3 linked regions of the Yarrowia lipolytica genome follow. The protein of the gene in region 3 purifies or fractionates together with the protein of the main gene of each other region. This does not show direct contact. Links are inferred from orthologs where the notes say so. Each region holds a gene or a part of one and is shown on either strand. Other genes may lie near its edges. The genes, in order: YALI1_E19494g, YALI1_C06870g and YALI1_F38756g.

Region 1 (4,191 bases), on a different chromosome or scaffold from region 3:
TCGGCTCTCGCCGGTGGTGTATCGGTATCGCTTGGTGACTTCGGTGAGGATCAGCACGCCGGTGAATTTGTCCTGGTCCGACTCGCTCTGAAGCAGCTGCTCAGCCTGGCCCAGCAGAGATGGCCAGTCCTTGGGGTAGTCCAGCACGACAATGTATGCCAGCATGGCCACCAGCTGAGATCGCAGCAGCGAATTGACGCCCTCAGCCCCGGACACAGATACAAGAGTAGGCACCAGCTTCTCCCGGAACTCGGGCTTCTCCTCGACCCGGATCAGCTTCTTGGAAGAGGTGTGGGGGTTCCAGTTTCGAGTGACCATGTTCTTGAGATAGACCGAGGCGGCCTTGCGCACATTGTCCGACGCCTGGGGCTCCCGAACAATGTCCAGACAGCTGTGGATGAAGCCGGGCATCTTGTCCACCTCCTTGAGCTGGGCCTCGGCCTGCTTGATGGTGTTGGGGTTGCCGTTGGTGGTGGCCTCGAAGCACGAGTACAGCGCGTTTGTGTCCATCTTGCTGTATTTGTCGTTCTCAGATAGCGTGGACACTCGGTGCAATGTAATGCTACCTTTTTTTTTTTCCATACCTCCCTATATTTTGATGGGTTACGTTAACCTTAGCGTTGAAGGTAGGGTAACGCATCAAGGGAAATTCAATGTAGGCTGCTGGGGCACTTTTGGTTTGGCTGTAGAAACATATAATACAATGCACAGGGCGCGAGAGCTGTATCGTCGGATACACACGAGTCTGGCATTTTATTTTTTACTTTCAAAAAATAGATTTGGACTCCTGTACCCTTTGTTATACGTGCATTTTCGCGGTCACTGCTTGCTGTTGCCCAAGAAGTTGCAATAGTTTTTCAGAAAAGAAACCAAAGTCGCAGACACAGACATGTGCTAAAATGGCTGGTTGAAAAGAGCTACAAACGCTTGAGAGGTGTCAGAGGGGCTGTTGGTACTGTGCTTATATGTACAGGGTCCAATCTGTGAAAATATCGATGCTCGCCGAGTTGTAGCGTGTCTCAGATCGAGGCCAAAAACAATGTTTTTGTCAAGTAAATCTCAACTGTAAACTCAACTATTTGTTCATCAGCCGAGTTTTTTTGGAAATAAATGCAGAAGAAAAAAATATTTTCCCTTTTTTGTTTTTTCAAAAAAAAAAAAAAAAAAAAAAAAAAAGGACTGGTCTTGGTGAAATCCAATCCAATCCAATCCAAAAGGTGCCTATGCAAATCAAATATGATACATCTATATACACCCGCGGAACCGGCTCGGCCGCTACTCTAGATCACCATGCCAAAAGATGTTGACATAGAGCCAACACCACAGTATCAATTAGTACGTTTCGTGGATGCAACTGTCGTCACATCGACCACACGTAGACTATCCTGTATGTAGCACACATTGTCCTAACCAGCCCATTTATCCCATTATCCCATTATCCAACCGTTTGGTGTCGCCACCTCATTGTCCCCCTCCCCCACCCTATGCGTTGTTGTTGAGCTTGCTTCTGGCGGCAGCAAACATTTCCTCCTGCTTTCTCAACAGCTCCTCCTCGGTCATGCCCGACTGCTCCAGCTTTCCAACCTTCTTCTCCCGCGACTTGAGCGCCTCCTTGTGCTCCACAATCAGGTCCTTGATGGGCTCAATGTAGTCTATGAATCCCAGCTCCTGCAGAGCCTTGATGACATGTTCCGGCGCAATCGTCTTCTTGCTCTCCTTCTCGGCAATCTCGTTGCTTTCGGTGCTCAGCATCATGATGAACTCGATGCAGCACTCGATCAACACGTCGCGGGTGTCCTTGGCAAACGCCAGGTCTGACGGAATGATTTCGCTCACTATCTTCTGCACCGTGGCTGGGTTAATAACCGACCCACAACTTTCAACCCCCCACAAACAGAAACACAAACACAAACACAACCCCCCCTCCGGCTCTACTCACCCTTGGGCAACGAAAGGTCGTCATTCCCTGAAGTTTCTCTGTCGCTCATTTCACTGCGTGTATGTTGTGGTAAACGTGTGGTTGTGCCGTGGTGGACTCGTCGCTCTTACGCGCCTTGTATGCTTTATGCATGTTTATATATTTTTCGAGCTCCCAAAGATAGAGTTCAAGAGTCGTAAACAGTGATAGCCACCCTACAGGAAAGTGCAAGTCGCACTGGGAGAACGGCGCCACCGATCCAGCCAGGTCACGTGATCCTACATACCCCCCCCAGAGCCACGCCCCAAGAATTGTATTTCCCACTCTTAATCTGTTGATTTTGGTGCCTTTGGGCAACCAACCCTGTTCCCTCAAAACACGTACAAGTTTGTCAGTCAATTCATTCTCATCCATCATCCAACTACTACCCCGTTTAAGGTTCCAGAATGAGCTTAAAATGCGGGAACTCAAAGAGAAACCTTTTTTTTTTGGGCCCGTCACGTGATGGCAAACACTCGATGAGACGTAGCACAGACTCAATGAGACGTAGCTCAGACTCAATGAGACGTCGCAGAGCAATTTTGTGGGGGCGGGGAGGGAGGGGGGAGACCAAGGAGGGAACAGCCGGCTGTTGGCGACAAGAACCGACTTTGGGTTGTTCTGTTGCACTCCGAACCACAACATTGGTGACAATGAACAAGCTCAGTTTAGACCATCGGGGTTACATAGCTGTTAAAACGCCAACAAATACTTGCAAGGGGTCCAGTTTTTCGGCTAGTGAGTAAACCGGGGGTGTTTATCACGACTATCGGACCGGTTTGGTCCAAAGTGTGGTATTTCGTTGAGCATTTGGAGACAAACAGATTATGTGTTGTCGGTGACTAACCCTAGTGCATGAGTCAATCTGGTATTGGTGGGATCGTTATGGGCGTGTAGCTACTGTACAGCTCCTGTACAATGGTGTACTATGGTTGAGTTGGTTTGTTGCGACCGTCTCGTCTTGGAGGATTTACACGACAACTAAATGTTTCCCATTCCGGGCACAGGTCAAAATCGAACCAACGCCGCCTGCCAACTCCTCTACCGTTCGACAGCGCGCCAGTTCGATTCCCCGTTGTGATGCTAAAGTAACCTCGTTTACGGTGGATCATCGAGAATGACATATAGTGGCAAATACGAGGAGATATTTTGTGTCGAGCACGTTTCGGGTCGACACCGAAGAGTCGGAACCCCCCAAAACTCCCCGTTTCCACGCTTCCCCGCAACTCCAACGCTCTCTGCTCTGTTCTTCTACCACACCAGATGTACTTGTTACAATACAAGTCTCGGTCAATTTTCATGCAGAAAAAAAATTCAGAGTTTAAATTATTTTTTCCTGCACTTGGACAACCATCAGGCAAGCCAGATAATTCCACCACAACTCACACACATCATGTCGGAACAGCTGTCTCGATTCGATCCCGCTCTCACGCAGTACGCCAGCGTCACAAGTGCGCTTAACCAGCACAAGATCCGTGTCCAGGCGGTCTCAGGCGCCAATGCCAGTCTCCAGCCCGTGGAGTTTGTGTTGGAGAAGGGCACCACTGTGACTGCTCTCAAGTGGACCAAGAACGTTGGCGAGGGCGCCTCGTCGTCTTCTCGACGCAAGAAGACCAAGACCCAGGACTCGGCGGCTGCTTCTTCCGAGGAATATCTAGTTTCTGTGGGAACCAACCGGGGCGACATTCTCACTTTTTCTCCCGCCCAGGCCAAGCTTGTGTCTGCTCTCCGAGGCGGCCATTCTCTGCCTGTGGCCGACTTTGACGTCGACGCCAACTCCGGCACCACCTACTCGCTTGACAACCGAGGTCTTTTGAACGTGTGGAAGGGCTCTTCTGTGGAACGATCTGTGGACAAGACCGGCGCCAAGCTGGTGGCCGTTCTGCCCTCGGGTAACGTGCTGCTGGCCACCCACAACATCGCCGTCTACGGCCCCCAGGGCGATGACTCGTCGGCCGTCTCGTTTGACTCGGCTCTGTTTGATATCCCCTCGCACACCTCTACTGTCACCGAGCTGTGTGTTCGAGGTGACCTTGTTGCTGCCGTTGCTGGCGACCGTCTCATCAACGTGGTTAACGTGGCTCAGAAGAAAATTGTGCTGGTGCTCATGGCCGAGTCGGGTGCCCACCGTGTCTCCATGAACGGCGACATTCTCACCGCCCTGACAGAGGGAGGAGCCGCCGAGTTCTTCCAGCTCGCCCAGACTAACGGATCCACCCCCAACAGCAAGAAGG
Region 2 (4,867 bases), on a different chromosome or scaffold from region 3:
TCTCACCCATCCTGGGGGATATCCCAAGACGAGATTCTTCTTGTCGGTCGTTCCAAGGCAACAACTGGGGGTGTAGAAACACCAGTCTCAGGTTTTTGGATTATGAGCGCACCTATCAGACCTTGCTACAACACCTGGCAACACTGTTCAGTGCTACACTGGCGCAACAGGTCCAATGGGCACAGCACCCTTAGCTTGTATCCTTTTGACAGTCCCTCCACAGTTGAGCTCTCAAAGACAAGAGACACCAGGTACAACACTTGACAAGGGTGCAAAACCACTCAATATCCAAGCAGCTCATAGCGGCAGAAGGTGGTGCATTGTGTTGAACCATCATCTCACTCGAAATATCTCCATGTCTGTCTCGTTAGTAGATATAGAATGATTCTGGTCAACGCTCACTTCGTTTGAGCTCAGCAAAGTACCATGCGATGAAGAAATCAGTAAGTACGACACCAGACCAGAACCAGAGAGCACTATCAGTTGTATCTCTTGCTGCTCTTCTATGCCCATGCCAATTGGTTTAACGCCATTGTAAGACGATGGGAAGACACCAGATGCAATTGTGAGACATGAATACTCCCAAAAGAGCCATAAAAGCGCCATAAAAGAGCCCATGTCTATCACCACTCTTGCTTGCAGGTGCGCAGAAAGTATACCCCGTCTAAGAGAGGTTTGCAGGTATACATAATTGCTGGCAAACAACAAGCCACTAATTAGTTTGTCCAAGTGCTCACCTGCTCCTCGCTCACCACCCTGATCCGATACTGTAGCAACCATCGACTCAGGAAGTTGAGAGCAAGATCGAAGACAGGTAACCAGAATGGGCGGGGGTCCCTTCATCAATCTCACCGAGCTGAAACAGTCACGTGCTCTATGATCGTATTTTGGCTAGATCTGGTCGACAATGTTGAAACAAGTTTAGATAACACTGTTCTCACCGTTTATAAGTCAAGAATGTACTGGTAGCTTCGTAGAGAAGACAAAAAAGCCTTCTACACAGTATCAAGGACTATGCTTTAGTTGGTATGTACAGTAGCTAGAGTCCAAATACGATTTCGACCAACTGGCTTCCTCTTACTCACATGCTGAACTACAAGTACGATATCATGAAATTACGACATTCGGGTCTACAAAACCACTAGACCATCTCATCAAGGTTATAATGCTCGTAGCACGATCATACAGTACAATCCCTAGGAACTCACAGATAGTCGTATACACCCATCCTTCATATTCCTCCACCGTGATCATATAAAAAATACATTCAGAACTATCTATACACTGGGGTCCCCCTTTTCCATGCGCGTGCAGTTCTCTCTCTTGCTCGCTATCCACCCATTACTCCACCTGCTTACCCTCGAAATCCACCAATCCATGAACAACCTGCTGTGAATCGTCCAGCTTCTCAATCAGTTCATACACCTTGTCTCCCACCAGCTCCTTGCATCGATCAATCTCCTGCTCAGTGAGCTCTTGATCGGGGTAGATGGCCTGGCCCTTGATCTGTCGCAGAGCCGAAATCAAACACTTGTTGAGCTGCTCCAGCTCCAAAGTAGAGTCCGACGACGACTTCAACAGCCGGTTGTAAAGTGTATCACTCCACAGCTTCAGGTTGCCTACAATGACCACACGAACGGCCTCATTACCAAGCGCCTGAATGCCCTGGAGAGCGCCATAGAGAGTGGGTATCGGCTTGGTGGGGTCCATGAATGCCTTGAGTAGCGTTCGGATGGCTCTGGGCTTGAGAGAAGCGTAGATCTCGTTGTATTTGTCGCAGATTCGTGCCAGAAGAGATGCAGCAAAGTCACGAATCGAGTACTGAGAAATGGTCACCTGCGAGTCCTCCACAATGTCCTCATGGCCGGGCTTGGGACCAATCTTCTTCGCGAGAATCAAAGTCAGCACAGAGGGCATCAGTGAGTGAATGTAGGGGTCCATGAACAGCGTGGGGTTAGTCAGCAGTGCGTCAATTACCTGCAGCATAGTGTAGAGCACGGGCAGGTTCTTGAGGTTATGTGTGACTTTTTCGGCCACAAACTGCACAAAGTAGGGCACCAACTGGTGGAATCCGGGGTCGTTTCGCAGAGAAGAAAGAGCAGCCGCATGTTGCTTGACCGCAGCCTCCTTCTCGTCTCCGGTAGCAGTGACAACCACTTCCGAGCCGTCCATAAGTGCACCCACCACACGGTCAAAGTACAGCTGCAGCTCCTTGGACAGCACATGTTTGACGAGAGGCTTCACCTTGACGTCCGACGAGCCGTTGATGGTGGCGATCGAGTTGTTGGTGGTCTGGGCGCCTCTCAGATCAACACTCATGGCTCTGATGTCGCTGGCCAGGGGGTTTTGTGGGATGGCAGGTTGCACTCCATCGATCGCCACCCAGTGAGCTGTCAGTGATGTGGCACGAGGCACCTTAGGCAGCGGTTGGTTGATGAGCCGTTCAAAGTCCACCTCATCGTCATCCACATAGTACAGCGTTTGTCCTGGTCCGGTGATGGCTTCTCTGTAAGACACGCTTTTTTCGTTGGCCACGCCCTCGTAGCCGTAAAGGGGCTCCACGTTGAGCGCTCGAAGAGCCTCGCCCACGTCGGAGGTCCCCAGAGTCGTTCGTTTCGAGTGTCGCATGAACTTGAGCGCCTGTTCAATCACCTCGTGGATTCGGTATTCCACGTCCATGGCAAGCGTTTTGGCCACGTCATCGGGCAGATTGGAGATGCCCAGAGTCTCGGCCACGTCTTTGACCGTGTCACTGGGAGACCACAGGGTGTGGGAAAAGTTGATGGACATGTTGTGTGGGTTGCAAGTGGTGATATTGACCTTGTGATGATGGAGGTTGGAATTAGAGTTTGGAAAGTGTTGATGGGGAGTTTGTCTTCTGCGATATCGGGGGGTTGTGAGAGCGGTATATCGACGGTAAGTAGATGGAATCAGCTAAGGAAGTTTGTGAGTTGCTCGTCAAAAGAAATATCTGTCAAAAAAGAGAATTAAAGAGTGGTTATGAGGGCGTTGTATAAGGTAGTCATGGAACCTTAATTTTTGCACGAAGAGTTGGTTTTGGGGTAGCCAAAAGTCCAGGAGTAATGGCTCCTATTGTAATATTAGACATGTATTTGACTTTCACCAGAATTAAAATACTCTCCTTTTTAATTTCATTTAAATCTGTTGAAAATGGAGCAAGAACAATGCACTCTTTCGAGCTATTGTTATACTTGAAAGTTTCAACAATAGCCTCTGAAATAGTTGAAATATTAACCTCCTGTCAAGTAAGTAGAGAGTGTCAATATCTCTTGAAATTCTGGTCATATCACATTTCTACATAGATAAATCTGTAAAACTAACTACCATTGATGTATATTTTTAGTTCCTGGATCTATAAGTCCACCACTGCCTTTTCTACACTCATTTCAAATGCCACTATCAAGGTTCAATGGGCTGCTCTATCGAAATCATCAGGTGTTTCAAACATGACGAAATCTTCATCAATTTGAATTCTGAAAAATACAGTCAGTTTTTACCACTCTTTTATTCCCATCGCACTTTTCTCTTTTTTTCTCTCACTCCTCCTCCCCCCCACAGCAACTACCCCTATTCCCCTCCACGCATGGTCATGCACTCCACTCTTAAACCCGCACATCATCACTCCACACACACTTGACGCCGACTACAACGATGGGTTCGTGTTTCAGCAAGAGCGAGCCCGCGTCCACGTCGGGCAGGACCGCAGGACGAGCACCACCAGCGGCTAAGCCTGCCAAACCAGCAAAGACGGAAAACATCCCACTCAAGAAACAACCGCCCAAACAGCCAACAAACACATACAACTCGCCAGGACACACTCTGGGAGGCACAGCCGAAACGCTGGACGCCAAGGAGGCCGCCGCACGCGCCGCAGAGGCCCGGGCCCAGGGCCAGAATAAGGGTGGCAAACTCAGTCAGCAGCTGGCCAAGGAGAAGGCTAAGAACCGGACCGAATTGATGAAGACAGAGAAAGTCGAGGAGCCATTGATTTATGATTAGTGGGCGACTCATGTGATTACTGTGATTCCCGAGATTCTGCAGTGTTGCCATTGTGTTGTCTGCGGCTACATTGTCTCCACGATGCTTTCTTGTGGAGAGATGCTCAACGACTCAACAATAACAACAAGGGGCTAGGACGACTCATGTGGATGGTTACGCGCCATCTGAGACTAGAAGGATTATATAGGAATGTATTATTTTAACGATTGGTGGGGTGCAATGGTGAAGGGTGGTGATAACGGGGTTCAGGTTGAAACATCGTTATACAACGAGAGCATGAGAAAAGATCCAGCTCCTGAGAGATCTCCAAATGAAAACTCAGCAACAGTCCAATAGTGTGTACACCATGACACCATAGCCAAGTCTGACTGAGAACTAATGGTTACTCCTTAGTTATTGTACCGTAGATACTGGAACAAGTGGAATACTTTCTGCCTCTCAACCGCTTCATTCGTCAATCGTTATAATATATACATCTTCCTACTCGTACATGGACCATTCCATACTCGGTCCTACAAAGTTTGACCCCCCCTTGGTATCGTCTACACCTGATACCTAGCGCCCTTAACCAAACCACTCACCAGAAGCTCCGACAACTCATGATGAGCCAGTTTCACCGCCCGCTCACTGGTACCCTCAATGAGAATAAACAGCTTGGGTTCATCCTTGGGTCCGGGAATACGACCAGGAGGATAGTACTCGCCCTTAGCAGTGATACTGCAACCAGTGTTGGCAATAACACGACTGACAGAAGTGTTACTACTGGCTCTGTATCGAGCCTGCTGAGGGAAGTCGTTGATCTGCAGCGTCGTGTGGTAAGCAGTTGTGGGGGATTTGCTGTCTGGAG
Region 3 (8,976 bases):
TGCCGTGGGAGTACTGTCGCAGGAACTGGGAGGTACCAATGACGACATCGACACCATCGACACCGGTGGAGACAGCGAGTCTTGCGTCGTCCATGTGGCATCGGATGTGAGTGAGAATCTTGGCCTTAAGACCGAGCTTGCAGATGGCCTCGCAATCGGACCGCGACTGCTCCGATGCTGCGGGGGAGGTCAGCTCGATGTAGTCGACACCAAAGTCGTCCAGAGCCTTGGCAATCTCGATCTTGGTCTCGGTGTCAAAGAAGGCAGAGGCAAACTGCTCTCCCTCTCGCAGAGTGGACTCGATGAGCTGGAACTTGGACACGTTAGAAAGGAAATCGGCGGGGTTGGCTCCGTAAGGATTAGTCTGCTCGCCGGTGTGACCGACCTCGACTCCAACGTTGGAGGGCTTCTCAGGAGCAGCGTTAGCGGCGGGGGCGTTATCTGTTGCGCACATTTTTTTAGCGATTCTTGGTTGTGTTAGAGGAGAGGTGGATGAGAATCTATCTGTCAGAAGAAGAAAGAAAAAAAGAGAGACTAAACTGGGGGACCCCAAAGTCTTTTATATGCTCGATGCTCTCTTACTATGACTAATTGCTACTGCTCCCAATGACACATTTTAGGCTTTTTTTCCTGACCCTGCCAAATAAGCTCACACTTGAAATTTTTCACCACTTGTAAAAAGCGATGTGCTTTATTCGAGCGTTTATTGCTCACAGGTTTGATGGACAGGGTCTAGAACTGATAGGTGTATATCACCGCAGAAAAGTGCAATCTGGACCAGGCATGCCGGAATAGATTCTGGCCATCAAGACAATCCGACAACACTCTTATACGCTTGTGAATAAACTCCTGGAGGTCGACTCATTGTCTGGTTCCCTGTGCACCACCAGTGCACACCATGTCACAGCAGTATACAGTATAGCTAATCTAGTCGATAACGTGAACGTGCCAAACGTGAGCCATAGCATAGAGACAGGGAGAAAACAAGAGGTGACTGAACACTCGTCGACCACCTGTAAGCCATGACTTACCCAATCCGACTATCAAGTATACTCTAGATGACCACATTTTCCGAATTCCTCACCCCTCACCCACCGCGCATCACGTTGTTCCATGGTTTCCATCTCGCTCACGCAGCACTTTAATTTTGCATAATCGCGGGCGGAGCGCTTGGGACTTGGTGGAGTAATAAACGGAGTGAGCTGCGTACGACCAAGTAAGTACGCTACGCAGACGTTCTCTCTAGAGCAAGGAACAAAAACTGGTTATAGCTATGGTAGCTGTAAATGGTATTAGGCGACTTGGCACAAAAAAAATTTCCACACCAAATAACTCCCTTCTTTGTAAGACTCATACTTGTACTTGTAATTTCCGGCTATCATGTTTCTGATTGTTCAGCTCAATTGGAACCCTAAAGGCGGCTCTTTTTTTCTGCCAGCCGTTGTAGCATCATCATGTCGCAGCTCAAGGTCCCGCGTAAAGCTCCTTAGTAAAGCAAATTAGTGGGCTGGGTCGGCTCAGACGGGATTATCTGCCGGGTAACACCTTCAATGGAGGGCCCGCAGCACACATGCACTCTCAAATCGACCAATGTATGTGTATTCGGAGTCTCGAGCAAGAAATCCTGTGGCGTCGACAAAAAATCATTGTTGCGCACTTCCGACAGGAAACCATGAACAAATGCTCGCCGTATGATTGGACAGGGTGTTGCTCCAACTGCTTTCGTTTTAGTACGGTTCTAAAAAACAGCCATTGGGTTACGTAAGCGCAATCTTGATGGGGTTACCCGGCCCAGAAAATATATCAAACTTTTCCCTAGAACTCTATTGGCGCCGTCGTTACGCATATAAAAGTAGTGTACTTAACGATGGGGGCCGCCAGTTTGCAAAAATTGGATTTCGGCAAAACTGTCGGTCAAGGTGTGAGTATTGGCGAAAAATGCGGCGGGGAAGATTCTAAGGCGGTTTAAAGAGGCATACAGCCCATCAGCAACGGAAAACCGAGAGAAATTGGCTGGATACACCTGTCCCACGATTACTACGCGTATCGTGGGTGGGAACTCTAAATGACTTGAGTACTAACGCGAGAACCAAGAATATTTCGACCAGACGAAACGATACCAGCGTGCAACGACGATTCAGTGTGATTTAGGACGCAACAACAGAGATTGTGATTATAGGTGAGTTCTCGGAAGAAGTGTGTGGGAGACAAGTGGAGTGTTCTGCTCAAGGCACGTTGGTTGGTGTCAATGGAGCCTTAATTTTGAGTCTATCAGAGGGTAGACCTATCGACCAAGATGACGAACAAAAGAAGATGAGCGATAGGAGAGATTGACAGGCAGAATTGAGTCGTCTTTTTTTGCCGCATGTCTGTCTCAATTGGTCCCTGCAGACACATCACATGTCTCATGTATTGTGCTTACTAACCCAGATGTCTCGATTAGATCGTCTTGTATTGCTACTAGACACAGGCTCATCTGCATTTGTGCGTAATACTGCGGCTGACCAGCTGGCAGATGTTCAAAAGAGCCATCCCGAAGAACTATTCAATCTACTCGGGCGAGTTTTCCCGTTTCTAAAGTCGAAAAAATGGGACACACGAATTGCGGCGGCTCGTGCCATTGGAGGCATTGTAGCCAACTGTCCTCAATGGGACCCCAATGCGGAGGAGGCTTCCGATGCTGCTTTGGCTGATAACTTGGCTGTCAAGAGTGAGGTCAAAACCGAGGATGGTGCTGAATCGGCTTCAGCCAACCTCGACATTTCTCTGCTATCAGATGGCATGCTCAATTTCGAGACATTTGATCTGGAGAAGGTCATCCAGTTTGGAGGCAAACTGCTGGGAAGCGGAGGAAAAGAGTATGAGGACATGTACGCCAACCTGGATCCCATTGAGCGTCTTCAGAAGCAAAAGAAGACGTTAAATAGCCGGCTTGGCTTGGCAGGTCAGTACATGGAGGACGGTCTTCTGGACGAGTCGGATGTCAAGGTGGAAGCCAATGTGGTGGAGAAGGTCAAAGTGGAGACTCCAGAAATCAAGACCGAGGTCAAGACAGAAACCACCCCCACTCCTCCGGCAGACGGACACTCTTCAGCTCGTCTGAGAGCCATGGCGAAGAGACGAGCCAAGTTACAAAAGGGCAACAATGCGAACAAAGTGCGGATTGTGGACGTCAGTGGCAAGAAGGAGGATGGAGGAAAGACTGTTATCAAAGATGACACCCCTGGAGGCATTCACACCTCTGAAAACGATGGCAAATTACTGGTTGAAGGCATTTCCCCCATTGTTCAGCTCGGAGCAGGCAAAGTTTGGCCCTTTGAGGGTCTTTGTGAACTTCTAATGGTCGACCTGTTCGACGATAACTGGGAGACTCGACATGGAGCCGCACTGGGACTGAGAGAAGTGGTTAAGGTGCACGGAAAGGGCGCTGGACGGGTACGGGGTTCCTCCGTGGAGGAGAATGACGCTCGAAACCGGCAGTGGATCGAAGATTTGGCATGTAGACTGTGCTGTATCTTTGCTCTGGACAGATTTGGCGATTACGTGGGTGACCAGGTCGTTGCTCCTGTTCGAGAGTCCTCTGGCCAGACCCTTGGTGCTCTTCTGTTGCATATGGACGAGAAGACGATCAGACCTACCTTCACTGTTTTGCATGGACTGGTGCTACAAAAGTATAACAAACCTGGTTCCATGACAGTATGGGAAGCTCGACACGGAGGAATGCTTGGACTGAGATATCTGGTGTCTGTGCGAACTGACCTGCTGTTCAAAGACAAGGCCTATCTCGACGATCTCTATGAAGCCGTTCTGAGTGGCCTCAGAGAGTCTGATGATGACGTGCAGGCAGTTTCGGCCGCCACACTAATCCCCGTCATCTCAGAGTACATCACTCTAAGACCTGATCGTATCAATGAGCTCATGAGCGTGCTTTGGGAGTGTTTAACCGATCTCAGAGACGATCTGAGTGCATCTATCGGTAACGTGATGGATCTCCTCGGCAAGTTGTGCGCCATTCCTCGGGTTTTGGATGTTCTCCAGATCAATGCCGAAATGGACCCTAGTCAAGACTTCAGAAACCTGGTCCCCAGACTGTATCCTTTCTTCCGACACAGCATCACTAATGTGCGAAAGAGCGTCTTGACGACCATGTTGACTCTTTTAGGTGTTGGTAAGGGCGATGGGAAGACTCCCTGGGTGACCACTCACCTGTTGAGACTCGTGTTTCAGGTTCTTTTGGTTGAGCAGAACCCTTCGGTGACAGCTCTGGCACACGAGCTTTGGACGGCCCTGCTGGCTGCTGCTCCCAGCGAAGAACTCACCAAATTCCCATTTGTGGGCTATTTATCTCTACTTATGACTCCCATTGGTGTGGCTCGTCATTCTCACAAGATGGAAACCTCTCTGTTTGTCAAGCCCAGTGGAGGTATTTACTCTGTCGATAAGAACACCAAGCGAAAGACGACAACTGACAAGGAGACCGATTGGGGCAGTCAGCAACTGGTGGTCAACATTGATAACCCCATTTTGCTTGGAGATATCAGTATTGTTCCTTACGATGTTTTCCTGCGAATCAGAGTTACGTCTGCCGGTGCATTTGCCCAGCTACTTCGACTTGGAGACGAGTCTCTTCTGCAAGGTCTCCAACCTCGTCTGGACAAGTATGCTCGATCTAAGTACTCCACCCAGCGATTAGTTGCTGCTCTTATCTTTGACGAATGTGGGCCTTCTGCCAAGCTGTTTCTTCCCTCTGTTTCTGAGCTCCTTGTTGCTCCTCCTCCTGCTGCCATGTACGCCGACATTACACCTTTCCTCAAGGCTGTTCGAACGCAGGCTCTTTCTGCTCTGCGAGTCTTCGCTGACGCTGGAGGAGCCAGCACTGCTGCCAAGCTTCCTCAGCTGCCTATTCTGGTACAGGGAGAAGCTGACGCTGGACCCGAGGCCTTTTCTTTGGAGCAGGCTCAGAAGCTGATTGACGTGGACGTGCCGAAGCTCAGAAAGACTATTTCCACTACCGCTCGACTTTCTTCCGGCCAGCTCATGGAGGACTCGCTCCTGGCTCTTTCTCAGGCCATGGAGGAAGCGCACGAGGCGAAGACCCAGAGAGATGTGTCTATCCAGAGCACGTTGGCATCTGCCGTTATTCATATTGGCGGCCTTCCTCCCAAGCTCAACGGAGTCATCAGAGCTCTAATGGACTCCATCAAGGGTGAGGAGCATGTCATCTTGCAGGATCGAGCTGCTGCAACGATTGTGCATCTGGTTGATTTGTTTGGAGCTGCTGGCAAGACCGGAGCCACCGACAAGATCATCAAGAACCTGTGTGCCTTCCTGTGTGTCGACACCTCCGAGACACCTGAATTTCACTTCAACGAAAAGGTGGAGTCTAACATTCTGTCCCTGCGAAAGGAGGAAGCCAAGACCGACCCTGCTGACGTCATTGCTCACCAGCGAGAAGTCAAGGCAGCAAGAATCAAGCGAGGGGGTGCCCAGACAGCTCTTCAGGGCATGTTGGTCGAGTTTGGAGACCATGTGTTTGAAAAGTGCAAAAAGCTTGAGTCCATCATGTTCGACCCTCTCAAGGTGGAGCTCAACTCGGACAGTGTCTATGCTCCAGAAGACACCTCTGGCCAGTCTGTGGTTGACTCTCTGAGTATTATCCGAGCTCTGGTGCCCTGTCTGTCTACTAACTTGCATTCGAAGATTATGGAGATTCTGCCCAGCGTCTTCACCCACCTGGGAAGCAAGTTTGCCGTGGTGCGATACGCTGCTGCGAAGTGTTTTGCCACCATTTGTGCCACTCTTCCTCTTCAGGCCATTCCGGAGCTGGTTCGAATCGTCCTGCCTATGCTCAACGACCCTCTGTCTCTCCACAGACGCCAGGGAGCTGTCGAGTGCATCTACCACCTCGCTGCCATCATGGGCAACGATGTTCTTCCCTACGTTGTGTTTTTGATTGTTCCTATTCTGGGTCGTATGTCAGATGCCGATCAGGACGTGCGTCTGATTGCCACCACCACTTTTGCCCAGATCGTCAAGCTGGTTCCTCTCGAAAGTGGTATCCCGGACCCCGAAGGCATGTCCAAGGAACTGCTTGAGGGTCGAGACAAGGAGCGAGAGTTCCTGCAGCAGATGCTGGACGTGTCCAAGATCAAACCCTTCCCTCTGCCTGTCAGCATTAAGGCAACGCTGCGAAAGTATCAGCAAGACGGAGTCAACTGGCTGGCCTTCCTCAACAAGTATCAACTTCACGGTATTCTGTGTGACGATATGGGTCTCGGAAAGACTCTGCAGACCATTTGTATTGTGTCGTCTGATCATTATCTGCGTGCTGAAAAGTACAAGGAGCTGGAGGGCAAGTACAAGGAGCTGGAGAGCGCCGGAAACACGGACGCTGCCTCTCTGGACGGCCTCAAGAGCGAAATGGCGCAAGTCAGAGCTCTCCCTTCGCTCATTGTCTGTCCCCCCACCCTCATTGGACATTGGAAACACGAGCTCAACACCTATGCCCCCTTCCTGTCTGTTCTCATGTACGCTGGACATCCCTCTCAGCGATACCTGCATGCCGACTCTCTGCACAAGTACGATATTGTGGTCACTTCCTACGATATCTGTCGAAACGACAATGCTGTCTTCACCAAACAGCAATACAACTACTGTGTTCTTGACGAGGGCCATATCATCAAGAACCCCCAGTCCAGACTCACCCAGAGCGTTAAAAAGATCCACGCCAACCACCGTCTGATTCTGTCAGGTACTCCCATCCAGAACAATGTTCTTGAGTTGTGGTCGTTGTTCGACTTCCTCATGCCCGGTTTCCTGGGTACCGAGAAGGTTTTCAATGAGCGGTTTGCCAAGCCTATTGCTTCTTCTAGAAACTCCAAGTCTTCTTCCAAGGAGCAGGAAGCGGGAGCTCTGGCTTTGGAGGCTCTGCATAAGCAGGTTTTGCCCTTCCTGCTGCGACGTCTCAAGGAGGACGTGCTGTCTGATCTGCCCCCTAAGATCATCCAGGACTACTACTGCGAACTATCCGAGCTACAGCGAGAGCTGTACGGCGACTTCGCCAAGAAGCAAAAGTCTGTGGTCGAAAACGAAATCACCACAGAGACGGTCGAGTCCAAGCAGCACGTGTTCCAGGCTCTACAGTACATGCGAAAGCTGTGCAACCACCCTGCTCTGGTTCTTAATGAGCGGCATCCAAAGTTTAGCAAGATCATGAAGCAGTTTGGAGGAGCTACAGGTGTCAAATCCATCAACAATGCTCCCAAGCTGCAGGCTCTTCAGCGACTTTTGTTGGATTGTGGTATCGGAGAGACCAAGGGAGCTGAGGCTAAGAATGGCACCAGCAAGAAGCAACATTCTGAAGGCGATGTCCCTGTTATTTCTCAGCACCGAGCTCTCATTTTCTGTCAGCTCAAGGACATGCTGGACATTGTTGAGAACGAGCTCTTTAAGAAGTATATGCCTACAGTTACGTTTATGCGACTGGACGGATCTACTGAAGCTCGACATCGACACGATATTGTCCAGAAGTTCAACGCTGATCCTTCCATCGATGTTTTGCTTCTTACCACCCATGTGGGTGGCTTGGGCCTCAACCTGACTGGTGCTGATACCGTCATCTTTGTGGAACACGACTGGAACCCAATGAACGATCTGCAGGCCATGGACCGAGCCCATCGAATCGGCCAGAAGAAGGTGGTCAACGTCTACCGACTCATCACCCGAAACACTCTTGAGGAGAAGATTATGGGTCTGCAAAAGTTCAAGCTCAACATTGCGTCCACGGTCATCAACCAGCAGAACTCCGGTCTCTCTTCCATGGACACTGATCAACTGCTTGATCTCTTTAATGTCGACGACGTGGCAGCGGCTGGTAACGGAACCGCAGCGGCGGATGCAAACGCCGAGGACGCCGGTTTGGATGCCACTGGATCGCTTGGCAAGAAGAACCCTGCTTTGGCCGATCTCGGCGAGTTGTGGGACGAAGGAGAGTACACCGAGGAGTACAACCTGGACAACTTCATCCAGTCTCTCAAGTAAAGGGCATTGTAAGGAGATGTATATTAGCTATATATGTACTATTAATGATTATTTAATGATTTTACGTGTCGTGACAGTAGGAGAATGCCTTTACATTACAGAAGCCCACTGTGACACTACAAGTAGCCTCTTTTTGCCTATACTGTACGAGTAATGTGTTGAATGAGTGAGATCATTCTACAGTTAACACAAAAGAGTCTATATCTACAGCACCGATGGGCCCATATATACAAATACATTATCTACATTATATATCTATCGTATTACTCATGGTATCGTGTATCACCAAGAAGCATGACCTGGGAGGGTAGTCGTCCAGGAACAGGAGTCAGAATCTTCACCTTGTTCTTCTCCTCGTCCACCTCCGTCACGTGAAGGTAACCTTGGACCTCTGAGTCGAGAATCTCTTTTTCGGACGAGCCAGGAACAGCGTGCATGACCGTCAGTACTGTGTTTGGTAGAATGTTGGCCTCTGCGACCCTCTCCAGCATATCCGCCTTGTCATCGTCAAACTGTGTGGAAGGCTTGATCTTGTAAACGTGGAGAGTAGAGAAATCGACAGTGACGATTCGTGGACCAAGTTTCATATCTTTAGCATCTCCATAAAAATACTGCTGAATTTCCTGTTGCTGGGCATCTCGGTTGTAGCTCTCATCGTCATCCATGCAAGCAAATGCTGGTACCTTAACTACTGTGGGACCGGAGGCTCCCACTGGGTATTTCTTCATGAGGTCTGCATAAAGTCGATCGTTGCCAATAACGACAATGACGTTGACTCCAAAGTCGCTCACCACGTCCGTTAGCAGGTTAACTTCGATTGTTTTGTTTTGGTTGCCGGGTACTCGAGGAGTGTCGATGATGAGACCAGACTTTTGCGCCTCAACGTCGTGTGCAAGTTTGGACAGGACGGGAACTGCTAGCTGAGCCACAGACCGC

The links.
Region 1: the proteins of YALI1_F38756g (region 3) and YALI1_E19494g purify together in Saccharomyces cerevisiae (affinity purification with western blotting; 3 studies listed by BioGRID, with this or other methods). This does not show direct contact. The link is inferred for Yarrowia lipolytica from reciprocal best matches to the Saccharomyces cerevisiae genes MOT1 and NCB2.
Region 2: the proteins of YALI1_F38756g (region 3) and YALI1_C06870g purify together in Saccharomyces cerevisiae (affinity purification with western blotting; 3 studies listed by BioGRID, with this or other methods). This does not show direct contact. The link is inferred for Yarrowia lipolytica from reciprocal best matches to the Saccharomyces cerevisiae genes MOT1 and TAF6.

What each region holds. Positions count from the first base shown.
Region 1 is NC_090774.1:1,947,221-1,951,411, reverse strand, and holds YALI1_E19494g (uncharacterized protein), read right to left. Parts: upstream 1,989-4,191; coding exon 1,940-1,988; intron 1,854-1,939; coding exon 1,483-1,853; downstream 1-1,482. Other genes in the region: YALI1_E19508g (uncharacterized protein), read right to left, coding at 1-582; YALI1_E19488g (uncharacterized protein), read right to left, coding at 1,985-2,602; YALI1_E19483g (uncharacterized protein), read left to right, coding at 3,075-4,191. UniProt on the Saccharomyces cerevisiae protein: Component of the NC2 complex which represses RNA polymerase II transcription through binding to SPT15/TBP and thereby inhibiting the assembly of the preinitiation complex.
Region 2 is NC_090772.1:684,296-689,162, forward strand, and holds YALI1_C06870g (uncharacterized protein), read right to left. Parts: upstream 2,791-4,867; coding exon 1,342-2,790; downstream 1-1,341. Other genes in the region: YALI1_C06917g (uncharacterized protein), read right to left, coding at 4,563-4,867.
Region 3 is NC_090775.1:3,869,123-3,878,098, reverse strand, and holds YALI1_F38756g (uncharacterized protein), read left to right. Parts: upstream 1-2,400; coding exon 2,401-8,040; downstream 8,041-8,976. Other genes in the region: YALI1_F38776g (uncharacterized protein), read right to left, coding at 1-454; YALI1_F38684g (uncharacterized protein), read right to left, coding at 8,304-8,976. UniProt on the Saccharomyces cerevisiae protein: Regulates transcription in association with TATA binding protein (TBP). Removes TBP from the TATA box via its C-terminal ATPase activity. Both transcription activation and repression require its ATPase activity.